2 linked regions of the Notamacropus eugenii genome follow. Each later gene encodes a partner of the first gene's protein in a complex. Links are inferred from orthologs where the notes say so. Each region holds a gene or a part of one and is shown on either strand. Other genes may lie near its edges. The genes, in order: PRELID1 and TRIAP1.

Evidence for each region.
Region 2: the proteins of PRELID1 (region 1) and TRIAP1 are in contact, whole or in part, in a crystal structure (PDB 6I3V), measured with the Homo sapiens proteins. The link is inferred for Notamacropus eugenii from reciprocal best matches to the Homo sapiens genes PRELID1 and TRIAP1. Residues at the interface, in NP_037369.1 of Homo sapiens: Trp15, Asp16, Phe19, Ala20, Trp23, Gln24, Tyr26, Pro27, Val34, Leu35, Thr36, Glu37, Asp38, Ile39, Val40, His41, Arg42, Val44, Gln48, Lys49, Leu50, Leu51, Ser52, Arg53, Leu55, Thr57, Tyr79, Leu81, Asp83, Ser84; in NP_057483.1 of Homo sapiens: Met1, Asn2, Ser3, Val4, Lys12, Tyr15, Asp16, Phe19, Asn20, Trp22, Phe23, Phe27, Leu28, Gly30, Asp31, Ser32, Phe41, Tyr44, Gln45, Val48, Gln49, Ile52, Ile57, Pro58, Ile59, Leu62, Glu63, Phe64, Met65, Gly66.

What each region holds. Positions count from the first base shown.
Region 1 is NC_092872.1:414,152,631-414,160,128, reverse strand, and holds PRELID1 (PRELI domain-containing protein 1, mitochondrial), read right to left. Parts: upstream 2,860-7,498; intron 2,256-2,859; 5' UTR 2,100-2,255; coding exon 1,965-2,099; intron 1,515-1,964; coding exon 1,401-1,514; intron 1,241-1,400; coding exon 1,162-1,240; intron 595-1,161; coding exon 443-594; 3' UTR 237-442; downstream 1-236. UniProt on the Homo sapiens protein: Involved in the modulation of the mitochondrial apoptotic pathway by ensuring the accumulation of cardiolipin (CL) in mitochondrial membranes.
Region 2 is NC_092875.1:24,824,844-24,831,021, reverse strand, and holds TRIAP1 (TP53-regulated inhibitor of apoptosis 1), read right to left. Parts: upstream 2,242-6,178; coding exon 2,095-2,241; intron 1,774-2,094; coding exon 1,690-1,773; 3' UTR 749-1,689; downstream 1-748. Other genes in the region: GATC (glutamyl-tRNA(Gln) amidotransferase subunit C, mitochondrial), read left to right, coding at 2,362-2,681, 3,034-3,137, 4,031-4,080; SRSF9 (serine/arginine-rich splicing factor 9), read right to left, coding at 5,135-5,278, 6,147-6,178. UniProt on the Homo sapiens protein: Involved in the modulation of the mitochondrial apoptotic pathway by ensuring the accumulation of cardiolipin (CL) in mitochondrial membranes.

The sequences.
Region 1 (7,498 bases):
TGGGATGGAGCTATACTCAGACTCTGGCTCTAGCTCCACAGATACCATACAGTATTTTCAGTAAAAAAAACTTTTTCTTAATTCTGCCTGTAGACCCTTTTATTTCTTCAGGACTACAAAGGAAGGGTAAGTTGCAGTCACTAGCATGTTTCAAGGCTGATGGCTGTGAGACTTCATTATAAACCTGGCAGGATCACTTAATTACCCCCAAGGCTTAGAAACCTCCACAGGCCAAGGACAGCACTAAAAATTGATTTTTAATGATAAATTACAACTTGGACACAGGGCGGGTAATGGGACAAGAGCTGGATTGTCTGTGGCTTGCATTGTGTTGATGGTAGACGCTGAGGGGCTGGGGCTCCAGGCCCAATGCCAGGTCTTGCCAAGAGGCTCTCAGCCTTGGGTACTGGCGATCTGGGAGGGCAGCAGTAAGGTGACTCCTTTAAACATAGTGTTGTTGTTGCTGCTGCTGCTTCTTGGTGGCTGCTTTGCTGGCCAGGTCCTTGGCTTTCTCAGTAGCTGCCAGAGCAGTTTCCTTCGCCTTCTCAGTTGCTTCCTTAGCTGTTTCAACAAGTGTCTTAGAAGGAGCTTCACCTGCAAAAAGAGAATCTCAGAGTATCAGTTAGAAGGTACAATGAAAACTGAAACCAGCTGATTGGTATGACATATAAAGAAATAGCATTTCGGAGAGAATAAGAACCTTGTTCAAGATCAAAGGGTAACATGGATAACATCAAGAATTTGAACCTAGGAGTTGTGACTCCAAGTCCAGTGCTTCTTCCACCACACCACACTAAACTACATTTGGTCTTTGACCTGATTCAAGCTCTTCTGCAGCTATACCTTAGAGGGTGGCTGGTGTCACAAGTTTGAGGGGCAGGGCTTAAGTAGCAGCCTCATACCCAATGATAGCTTGGGTTCGAGAAGGAATCTCAATTGATCTTTTTCCAAATCTGTAATTTTACTGATAAGAACATTGAGGCCAAGAAAGGTTAAGTCACCTAACCAAGGTCATATGGGTATCAAATGCTAAACTCAAGATTCAAACCATGTAACTCCTAATTCAGCACTGTTTCAAACTTTTTTTCTTGGGATCCTCATACTTAGTGCCAGCACCTACACCCTGTGTTCCTCCCCAGACTTAAAGCCCTTGGTTCTTACCTTGCAGTTTGGCCAAGATGTACTCAAAGCCTTTGATGGTCTTGGTCACGTTACTTTTGAATCTAGCTAAGCCAAACTCCTGAAAGGACAAGATGGGATCGGGTATGAAGAGCTGTCTCTTAGCACTTCTAGTCACTGCTCATGCCCAGGACAATCCATGGTGCTCAGAGCCAAGGAAGAACCAAACATCCTACCCCCACTGATGGCACCTTTGGCATTTCACCAAAGTGCTATGTTACCTGTACAGCTCTGGAGACCCCAAACAAACTGGAGGAGACCCAGGCCTCCCGTCGGATTTCAGTCCATCCACTGTTTTCAGGGTTCACACAGTAAACACATCTTTCCTCCACCACCTGGAATGAAATGATCACAAGTTTTCAGTAATCTAGACCCTAAGAAGAACAAGATTCTACAAGGCCTAGAGCCAAAAATCAAGATTTATATGATGCTTACTATGTGCTAGGTGCTTTACAATTATTATCCCCTTTTATCCTCACAACAACCCTGAGAGGTAAGTGATACTATTACCCTCATTTTACAGATGAAGGAACTGAGGCAAACAGAGGTTAAGAAACTTGCCTATATTCAGAAAGACCTTCACAAGTCATCAAATCTACATCTCAGTTTAAAGATGAGAAAACTATGACCTGGAGAGATAAAAGGGATTTACCAAGTGCCACTCAGCAAAGTAGTGGCAGGTCAAGAATCACAAACTGCTTTTCACTTTTCTTTCTGAACCAGCCTGCTTCCTCTCTTTTCTGGGACTCCTCCTTTAAATGAGTGGGTGCTAAAGAGTCACTAACCATCAGCCGGGCATGGTTGATGTTCCAGGTGAAAGTGGTCATGGTCTGGTTCTGTGGGTCCACGATGGAGTCCTCCAGGATGTACACCGAGTGGGCTACATTAGCAGGAAAGAAGCGCTCCGCCCAGCGGGGCATCCTGTTGGTCTTGGTTAGAAGCCGCCTGGACAGCAGCTTCTGGTCAGGAGTCACCTCCCGGTGCACAATGTCCTCCGTCAGCACATGCTTGCTGCGTGGGAAACACACAACACAGGAGATGAGCTTGGAAAGCTACACGATGAATTTATTGGGTACCTAAAAAGAAAAGCACCACTTTCCATAAGAGATTCAGTTTTATGTTCAACTCCTTCCCTAAGTGAAATGAAAATATGGATCTTATTAGATATTTATTTAGTTCAGAATATTAAAAAAAGAAAAAGGAAGTAAATTCAAAGTTCCTCAAGACATCCTGTTTGGGCATCCAATCCCCTCCTCTGCTTTTACAACATGGGTGAAAATACTGATCTCATTTGATATTTAAATACAGAATATTTTGAGAAATAAAAAAAAGGGAAGTCAAATCAATGTTCCTCAAGTCATCCTGTTTGGGCGAAGGAAGGGGCAGAAAAAGAGGAAACTGCAGCTCAGGCTTCAGGCTGAAGGTGTTCCCGGACAGGAGTCCTGCCCCACTTCCAATCTCGGGCAGGTTAGGTGGGGCTCAGGTCCAGGGCGAAGTCCAAACCTGACGCCCCTTTGGCCAAGCCTGGCAGGTGCCACCTGGAAGAAGGCGCCCCGCACCGCAGAGGTAAGCGGCCCCCTCCCCCCCTCCCCCCCTCCCCCGGCTCGGGCTCCCGGGCTGGATTCCAACGAGCTCGGGGTGGGGGCTTCTCTTTCCCAGGGGGGAGGGGGAGGGGGCAAAAATGCCTAGGGTCACCACCCACAGCGCTTCGAGGACTGGAGGCTCTAGCCGTCCCCGGAGGTGCCTGGAGGGGAGGGGGCTTCTGGGTGTTCCTCTCTTCTATGAGAGCTGTGAAGGGGGCGGAGTGTGAGCCGGGAGTCTTCCGCCCTCCTCTGTCTCCAGCCCTCGCCCGTGGGGGGTCGGGGGGCCGGGTTCTCCTGTCCTCACCTGTAAGGGTTGGGGTAACGCTGCCAGAAGGCAGCAAACACTTGGTCCCAGGAGCTCCGGAGCACGCTCTGCCCCAGGAAATACTTCACCATCGTCCCGGCGGGGGTCGGGGTCGGGGTCGGGGCAGTGTCAGGGGGCGCACAGCATCGAGGGGTAGAGGAGAGATGGGTTGCCGGGCTCGAGCTCTCCGTCACCGTCCCAAAGCCGCCGCCGCCGCCACCTCTGCAGCCACCGCCGCCGCCGTCGCCGCCGCCGCCATGAGGGGGTGTCCGGCCGCTCGGCACTTCCGGCCCCAGCCCGACCCTCTCAAGCCCCGCCCCTTCCGCAGGAGCATTTCCGGTGTTCCTGTCACGTGAGGCGTGTGGCTCCTCCCCGTTCCCCCCGCCGGCTCCCCCCCCCCCCATTTGGCTTCCTTCGGGCTGCTCTAGCTCGGGGGTCTCCGAGCACCGGGACCGGACGGGCAGCGGGACCGGACTGGCCCCGGAGTGGCCGCGGCCGCGGCAGGAGGAGCGGGAGCATGCGGCCCCGGTAAGAGGACGCAGGCTCGCAGGCTCGCGTGAGGTGGAGCAGCCTGGACCGGCATTCCGACCCGGGCTCTTCAAGCGTAGGCAGGCGTGTGTATGTGTGTGGCGGGCGGGGTGAGGGGTCTTGATCGGGGATCCCCGGGCCCACGGGCTCCAAGCGCAGGCCCCCGGCCGTGTCCCGCGGGCTGACGGGGCCGGCGCCGGAGCAGAAGAGCCGAGGCCGGGCCCGGCTCCGACGCGCTCAGGCGGGCCCGTGTCCGGCGCAGGTAAAGCTTGTGGTCTGCTCGCCCGGCCCGCCGCGCCCCTGCCCGGCCTGGGCCCCGGGAGCATGAGCGGGCAGCGCGTGGACGTGAAGGTCGTGATGCTGGGCAAGGAGTATGTGGGCAAGACGAGCCTCGTGGAGAGATACGTGCACGATCGCTTTTTGGTGGGGCCCTACCAGAATGTGAGTGCGGGCGCGCCCCGGCGCGGGGTCCGGGACCGGGTGCGGAGGGGAGCACGCCGGGCGCACGGAGGTGCTAAGGCTTGGTTGTGAATGTGGGGGGCAGCCAGTCAACCTGATTTTTGAGCCCCAACTTTGCCCCTGATCCCCTGTGGGAATTTGCTATTCATGTCCCCTTTCTGGACCTCAGTTTCCTTTCTTGTAAAAAAGGTAAAATATTTCCTGCTATCTGTCCTAGTGTTATTAGGGAGGGGGGGGTGTCAGAAAAAAGGGAAGTGAAAAAGTCTTGTGTCTACTGCAGTGGGTGGCATAAGCATTGTTAATAATAATAATAGTAACAAGCATTGTTGTGAAAGGGGGAATGACTGTCTCCTTCCTCCCCCCTCCCCACAGACCATTGGGGCAGCATTTGTGGCCAAGGTGATGTCTGTGGGAGACAGAACAGTGACACTAGGCATTTGGGTGAGTGACAGGGACACACCAACACTTACTTGCCCTATTGGATGAAGGGCTTTCCAGGGGATATTTATTTCCTGAGATATTTCCAAGAGAGGCTTCCCCACCCAAAAGACTCTGAACTGTATAGGACCACCTGGGCAAGAGGGTGTTGGGCCATCTTGGAGAGCCGTCAGCTTCTCAGTGCTGTACTGTAGCTTAGAATTCTCAGTTCTGTCCCTGATAAGCCTGGTAAACCTCAGCAAATGACCTCCTATACTTCTGTTTCTCCATCTGAGAAATACCAAGACTAGAGAACATCTGTAATAATTCAGGCTTTTCTGATTGACCTAATCCCTGGGAATTGTGGGTAGAAGGGTCCTTGTCCAGGTTATTCCCAAGTTAGGGACCAGGGATGAGCTTTCACCTGATTCTCTGTAGGACACAGCTGGCTCCGAGCGCTATGAGGCCATGAGTCGAATCTATTATCGTGGTGCCAAGGCAGCCATTGTCTGCTATGGTAAGGTTATCTTCACCCCCAGCCCAGGCTCTTCAGCCTTTCATGAGCAGTGGTTTACATGGAGGTGGTTAACAGCCTTTCTGCACTCCTTTATTCCCAGATCTTACTGACAGCAGTAGTTTTGAACGAGCCAAATTCTGGGTAAAGGAGCTTCAGAGTTTAGAAGAGGTAAGTGTACTTGGGAGCTAAGTAGTGCTTCTGATCCTTGAGGACTTTGTAAAGCCATGAACAGGGAGAGCTCAGGACCTTGCTTGTCTTGAGAGGCTTTGTAGTATTGGGAAAAAAATAGTAGCTGATATTAGAATGTTTTAACGTACTTTATCCCATTTAAGCCTCACAACAGATCTAATAATAGGTATTATTCCCATTCTACACAAGAGAAAACTGAGAATTAGGTTAGTTTGCATGTGGTGATACAACTACTAAATGTCCAGGACAGAATTTCAAAATAGGTCTTCCTGACACTTGTCCAGAAATCTAACCACTATACCACTAGATCTCTTAAAAGGGACTTAATTTCAAGTGCTGATTCTTACACTAATTATTACCTGTGTGACCAAGAGCAAGTCATTTGGTCTCTGTGAGGCTTAGTTTCCTTATCTACAGGATGAGAGTAGTAATACCTGCAGCCTAGATGTTTGTGAGGAAAGCACTTTGTAGTTGTAAACTGCAGCAGTAATGGTATCTGATGGTTATCATTGTCATTCTCCTGGGCTGGGCAGTGGAAGGACCCTGATATCGATTGACCCCTGATTTCTGCCCACTGCAGAGCTGTCAGATCTACTTGTGTGGCACCAAGAGTGACCTTCTGGAGGAAGATCGAAGACTGCGCCGGGTTGACTTCCATGATGTCCAAGATTATGCAGATGGTACCTACTGTTCTTTGAGGGCTGGGAGGGAGGGAGCCACAGAAGACTGGTCAAAAAAAGTGGCACGATTTTTGTTTTATACTTTCTTTCATGCCTATGGGGATAGTTGTGGTTCTCTGTCCCTGGGAAGATGCCCATATGAGGTTGGAAGGGCTGGAAGCAAACTCATGCCAAGGGGTGGAGGTAAATCACATGAAATTCCCATTTCCTTGGCTTTTCTGCCATCTTTTATCCAGCCCTACTCTTTTTATCCTCTTGCTGGGTGCTCATCCCAGGAAGGGCAGGACATGGGTAAGTCAGCCTTACTTGCTCACTCTGAGCTGTGTGTTTACAGACATAAAAGCTCAGCTCTTTGAGACATCTAGCAAGACAGGCCAGAGTGTAGGTAAGTACTGTCTGGGGCCCAGGTAATCTCTAGACCTGGTTTTAGTCAGTCTGGGAAAGCCAGACTTAGGAAAGAGAGTTGGAGAGGGGATAGCATGGCAGGCAGTGATCCCAGAACTGGATGAAAGGAAATGTATTTTTAGGAAATGCAAAGGTTGTCCTAGGATACTGGGTATCTGAACAGTGGCAAAATCTGGCCTTACAAGACAGTATCATTAGCTTGTGAGAATGGGAGTAGTCAAACAATCATTGGCTTTTCCTTGCCTTATTACCTCACCCTCCTTCACTACCTAGATGAACTGTTCCAGAAGGTGGCAGAAGATTACGTCAGTGTGGCTGCCTTCCAGTTGATGACAGGTGAGGTCTGCTTCCAAACTGTGGCCCTCCCTTTTTGCCTACTTCTTTGATTATGGTGATTTAGTGTTGAAAGGAGCCTTGAACATTCTGATCCAATTCCCTCATTTTAGAGGCAGCAGGGACCTGAAATAACATGTCTCATGTAGGTAAAAAGTGGCTAACTAGGATTCAGACCCAGGCACTTTAGAGTGAAGGTCTGAATGGTGATCCTTTCTTGATGATGAGTGGTTAATATTTGCTTCCATCTCTCTGCAGAGGACAAAGGCGTTGACTTGAGTCAGAAGGGCAACACCTTCTTCTACAGTTGCTGCCATCATTGAGAGCCACCGTATCACCTGGAAGGGACCCTGCTGGACCCTTGCCTGCTCTCTGCTGGTTGAGGGGCTGTCTGAGCTACCCACAGCCCGAGGCAGAAAGGGATGGGCCTGTGCTGGCCCAGGATCACAGGCAGCAGCAGACCGAAAGGCGAGAGGAGGCCAGTTCTGACTCTGGGCTCTCTCCTATTTGCTGGGCAGCACTTGTATTTCTGCACATAATTTAAGTGGCTTCTGCCTTGTAAATAAAGTCCCTCCCCATCCCCCCACTGATAGTTGACCCACTTCCTTACTATTTCATGGGAAGGGAGGAATGTATTCATGTGGGAAGGAAAAGTTACTTAAGATTGTTCCTCTCCTTACCTGAGCCTGGAAGACAGATTGAGTATCTAGGTGTCCTCTGATGTGACTGGCTTCATGAAACTGTACTGAAAAGTTCCTTTCTCTAGTTTTCTCCTAGGTGAAACATTAGTGACTTACAGGGTTTCTATGGTGTGGCAGCTGCTGACTGAAAGGGACCCTCTAGAGTTGGCCTGGTTGGGTTTTGGGGGATGTAGTTGGCCATAGAATTAAAGATGCCAGTACTT
Region 2 (6,178 bases), on another chromosome or scaffold:
TCTGCTTTCCAATTTAAATTGGTAAGGCAAAAAAACCCCATGTTAGCTAGATTGATTACATTAATAGATTTCATCAGATACTGGCTTTGTGAATCTGAACAAGTCACTTAAAATAGCACCTATCTCATTGTGTTAGGAGATGAAACTTCAGGTGCCTTGCATATCTTAAATGGGTATAGAAATGCTATTATAAATCGTCTCCCTGAAACGTCATTAACTATGAAGTAGCTCTATCCAATTCGGTTCACTAAGAATGATATTTAAAGCATTTTATTGAAACATGACTGATTTTTAGGAACCCAAAAATGTTATGATCCTATTTTAAATCTTTAGTCTCACTAAACATACAAATAAGCTTAATTACAATGTGGTCTGTAAATGACCATGTATCAAAAGTACTCAATCCCTAAGATGATACCTAAGGTTTGCTGGTAAGAATCCTAACAAATTCAAATGATGTTCAGTTGGTGGGCTGTGTCAAGGTAGTCTGTGCTCACCCACTCATCAGGTGGTGTACTCTGTCTTGAGTAGCCAAAATATGAATTTGTTCTCTCCAAAGAGACACTCTTCATTCCTACTGATTAGTCATGGAAACAACGGGGTCTGGGTTCTAATCCCACCAGGCTCAGAATTTTTGCTTTTTCATCTAATGTAAGATTAGACATATATACTCGACAGTCTAAGGATAACTACCCATGTTACAGGCATGCTGGAGATGAAGTGCTACGAGGTCGATGAGAAAGTAAACTATAAACCAAAGAGCAGTTATTTATTCCATCTCTGATTTCAAATGTTACAGAACATGATAGACAAATAAGGCAAATAAAGCAAACTATTTTCTTCATCCCAATTAACCATGTGCAACTGTCAAGGTATTCAAGAGGCCTTGTAAACAACCCTCTTCCACCAACCCATGCAGGATAGTCTATAGCTCAAGCCCAGTGGTGTCATTTCTATCAGCATTTTTTTATAGTCACTATCACCATTCATGAAACAGCCTAAAAATCAAGAAAATCTGATTTCTGCATATTTTAGTACCTTCATAGCTAAATTCACAAGATTCAGAGGAAACCAGGAATCACCTTAATTTGTGCGCTTAGTACCAAACTTTGGGAGCTCAAAATGTTTCTTTAGAAGCCTTCAAGAACTTCCTGTTTTGTTTTGATTCCATCTAAATCCTCTTCTTAAAAGCAGGCAGTAGTCTCCTAAAGGCAGATCCCTTTTTGGCTAGCTCCACACCTTTAACCATTATTCCGTCGTTACCCAAACAAAACGTTGCTAATTAAATGCAGGAGTCACTCCCAGAGCATCAGAGGTGTGGTTCCAGAAAAAAAATTAATACTTTGCAGCAAGGATTCCTCATTCAGGACAACGTAGCCATTCTGACTCAGGAGTACATGTACTGGTATTTCTGTGCAGACCACATAAGTGCAGCAGACCAAGGTACATTCTGTTCATCTAAAGACTTGTTCTCTTATGCCATGTTTGGTACTGCAAGATGCCACACCAGCGAGGTGCCATCCGTCACCTGAAAGCAAATAATAAAGGTCTATCCGAGCCTTTCAGTAAATAAACCTAAGGGACTCTTCCTCTAAAAAGCTCCTAAAAACCAGTCGTCTCCAGAGACCAGTCTTCCTGACGTCTGAATGTTTGCAGCTGAAAAGGTCATCGCGAAGGCGGCCGTCAAGGTCAAGGAGAGCTTTCCGACTTCTCTTTGCTGTGGCCCATGAACTCCAGCCCTTCTATAGGAATCTCCTTCTCCTTGATCGCTTTCTGTGGATTGAGAAATGACATATACAAAGGAAAGACTCAGAGAAAGGAGCGTCTCAAGAATCTAAAGCGCTCCTGACCGGACGAGGAATCAGACCAACGTCGCCAAGCGCTGGGCTGGCTTCCCGACCTGTGACCCTCCTCGGGGAGCTCCGAGCTGGGCACTCAGGCCTCAGAGGCACACAGCAGGGGATCCCAGGGCTGGGCCGCCGACCCCTCCCCACCACCGCGCCGGCACGTGACCAGTCCGGCCGGCGGCGCTCGGGAGCCCAGTGGCCACGGCCACGCAGGGCCCACGCCCAACCCGCGGCTCTCGGGGCTCACCTGCACGCACTGCTGGTAGCGCTTGAAGAGGTCGGTGCAGGGGTCCCCGGAGCCGTCGCCCTTGAGGAACTTCTCGGCGAACCAGCGGTTGAAGCACTGGTCGTACTCTCGCTTCATGTCGGTGCAGGCCTCTCCCACGCTGTTCATGGCGACCAGCCCCGCAGTGGAAGGGCGACGGCGCGCTGCCGACGTCACTCGCGGAGCGCCGCTTACGTCACGCCGGAGCGCCCGTTTCCGGCTCGCAGTGAGGCGGCCGCGACCCCGGAGATGTGGCGTCGGATGCTCCAGCGGACGCTGCGGACAGGGCTGAGCCCCGGCGTGAGGGGCGCCATAGCCGGGGGGCCGGGAGCACGAGTCGGGAGCTGCCGGTCTGCGGGGGACGACTCGGGGAAGCCCCCACCCCCCGGCCCCCGCCCGGGCGACCGAGTGAGCGCCGAGCTGATCGAGCACCTGGAGCGCCTGGCCCTGGTGGATTTCCGAAACCGCGAGGGCGTAGAGCGGCTGCGGGCGGCCATCGAGTTTGCGGAGAAGCTCCGCGCCGTGGACACGGACGGCGTGGCGCCCATGGAGTCGGTGCTGGAGGACCGGTAGGCAAGGCCGTGCACGTCCGTGTGCACGCGGGGGCTCCTCGGGCAGGGATCCCCGATCGCCCAGCGCAGGAGCGCCACACGTGCCGGCGTTTTAACGGCCCCCTCGATGACATGACGTCATCTGCAGTTACCCTCCCAGGAGCGGGGTGGGCGTGCCTCCGGTGTCAGCAGGAGGTCACGAGTAGTGGAAATCCACCCCACCCAAAAGTGCGAAAACGCGGCTCCAAGTGATTGGGTTAGTGTGGAGACCGGCCCCAGGGCTGGTGGAGGTCCCCCGCCCCGTACCCCCGCGGCAGAAGCTCGGGGTCCGGGCCCCTTGCCTATGGGGCGGGCTTCTGGACTGTTGTAGGTGCCTGTACCTGAGAGCCGACGACGTGGTAGAAGGCGGCTGTGTGGAAGACCTGCTGCAGAACTCGCAGCAGACTGTGGAGGAGTATTTTGTGGCACCCCCAGGTAGATGCTACATTGGGGTGCTGGGCAGTCATGTTGCAGCTCAGAGGCAAGGTTTGGGGGGGATGAATAGGTTTGAAATGATTCTGGGAGTATAAAGTGCTGTTTGAATCCCAGGGAGGTGTTAGCCACCCTTAGGCTGTAAACGCGTTGTAAACCTTTTCCATGTAAGACTTTCAGCCCATTTGAACCCCACAACTTAGCAGCCTGTTTTTTGAAGTCAGTTCTACATTTTGGACTTTGAGCTTCATAACAGCGTTGTATCCTCACCCTTCTCCGACGTATGCCCAGCTTAGATGCCAGTCCAGGAAGCTGGTAGAGGGCATAGCACTTCCATATTACCCCCATACTGAAAGGGATTCCGGTTGGGTCAGGGAATCTCAATTTGGTATAGATCGTAGAGTGTCTCTGGTTCTGTGAATTACTTAAACGTTACCAAGTAGTTGCTGGAAGCAGGGGGAGTACCCTTGAGCCATATAGATTTTTTTCTGGAGAATATGGATTCAAATTCCTCTTCTTGGGATGTGTCAAGTGACTATATGGATTCACTGATTGATAACCTCCTCCCTCACAAAAAACCCCAATCCAGAACTAAGCCAGGTAGTTTTCATTTCCTTCCCACTGCTCAGAGGTGCCTATCTAAAGTATTTCAGGAATTACTTTGGTGTGGATGTTTCTTCTGCCAATTGCAACCCCCACTGTCTGAGGATGTTAGGTAATTCCACAATGGGCACTCCTTTCCCTCTTAAATGTGTAGCAAATCTAGTAGTGATCCAGGTATTCCTAGCTGAGAAAGCAGAGTGGTGACAACATTGTTTTCATGAAACACCAACTAGTTTCAGAAGCAAGAAGAGTTAGGCTTAACTGTAATTCTTTCCTTTTTGGATTTTAAACAGGGAACATCACTCTGCCAAAACAAAGTGAACAAGATCCAGCACTGCTTTGAGGAATAGTGCTCACAGTAGGAAATGATGTAGATGGAGGACCTTGGGAAAGACTAAGTTGAAAAAAACTCCCTTGAACTTCCTCAACACAACCAGGTTCTGGCCCCTTTTCTCCTCTCCCCCTGCTGCTCTCCAGTGAAGATGGGGTGAGGATGGAGAACTGCTGAAGTGAGATCCTGCTCTCCCCGATAGAGGTCAAGGAAGACTAGGGACTTGGAGAAAAGCTTCCCAGGAAATGGATCAGGAATTCACTTAGTACCTGGGTCACATGTTGGAAGTGTCTTGTGGTAATTGCAAAATCACCTTTGGTTCAGAGTTTCTGCATGCTGTTATGTAGAGTGAGTTTCTAACCAAAATGCACTTTTGCCCAAGAATTTGTTTTTTCCTGATCAAAGGACTCCATGCAGTCTGGATTATTCATATTTCCTCCCTAAGTATTCCTAGTCTCTTCATAAAGTATCTTCTTTTATCAGTGATTTCCTCTACTGCCAAAGCCTCCATTCAGAGAGAAACAGACTGAAAAGCTCAGCACTGGATTTCGTCTAACAGCAGACCACCACCGACTGTTCCCGTTCAAGCCCCTACTGAGAAGTTCTGTTCAGATAACTTCTCTTATTCTTTTAATCCTCTATCTGCCTGGCACAGAAAAACTGAGTTTACGTAATTAAAATAACCACGACTTGGAAACTATTAAACTTTAGAAATATATTTCTAAACAGAATGGGCTGATTCCTATATATAGTGTCTGTGCAGAGTAACCCACCTTGACACAGCATTGCTTTTTCTCCATAATTGGGGGAGGAAGGGGAACTATGCAACTTGCTTCTAAACCAAAACAACTGCAGCAGTTCAAAATATTTCACTGCCAATATGGCCCTGGTAGAAACTGTATGTATGTAGTTGTATGTAGTTTTTCCTTTAAAAAAAAAGTTATTAAAAAAAAATCCTAAGATACTAAGTCAATTTGGAATGTAGATTCCGAGCAGAGAGCAACTCAGTTCACACTAAAAAAAAAAACAAACAAAAAACAGAACCAAAAAAACCTCATAAGCGGTTTCAATATGGTGCAAAGGAAGAGGTGTAGTATGGGGAGCCCCTGCTTTGGTATGGAGAATCACGGCCCCTTGACCCTGAGCGGGACCGGGAGTAGCCATAGCTGCTGCTTCTTTCTGGATAAACTCTGATATAGGAAGTTTCACCCTGAAATTCAAACAAAAGGAAGGAAAAAAAAGTGAGGGATGAAGATGGGTAGGGGAAGGAAGAACAGGGACTCATATCCAGCCTATTCTGGGCCGGTAAGTGGAAGAAGGTCCAAGTGTCCCAAGTGTTATCCTAAACTTAAGCAGAAGACTTCATGATTGCAAGATCATTGCAAGTTCACAACCGTGGCCACTTTGCTCTTGAAGTGTAAGGTGGTTTGGGCAATGGCACGGTCGAACCAGTTGCCAGGTGAGTGAGGCAAACCACTTTTAAGGAAGGAAAAAAAATTTGGTAACTGGGAATACAGGAATTTTAAACACCGTTTGTATGTTGAAGGCAATCAGGACAACGGGGAGGAAGGTCCAAGAGGTCTCTCCTTTAGGTCCCCAAGGTATCAGGAAGCCAACAGCTTAGTCATTCCTTACAGAAAGGAATTTCACTCACAAATTACCAGGCACATAAAGGGACAGTAGCCACATCAAGATAAGTTGTGTTTGTAAGAGGCCTGGGACACAATCCTTAAGTCACTTCCAAGAAAGCAACTACAATGAGATGACAGCTTCCTGAATTTGTGAAAGCTCAAGTTCAGCCACTGGAGGCATAATCCACAAAAGCTCTCTTAAACAGGTGGGAAAGAGGTGGCTCACTCATGCTGACCTACTTGCCGATTCTCTCCAGGTACTAAAGGACCATTGCTAGGGTCTGTAAGACTTGGGCACGAAAGATGTTGGCTTGTCCACTAAGGTTCCTTACTGTTACTCTGAGATTATTTAACAAGCTATCTACCAGCCTTCTGTGCAGTGAGGACAGCTGCAGGCCCAACTGCCATGGGATTATAGAAGTTCTTCCACAAAAGGTGGGAACCCACCTCATGAGAACGGAATTTGGAGTCGTCCAGTC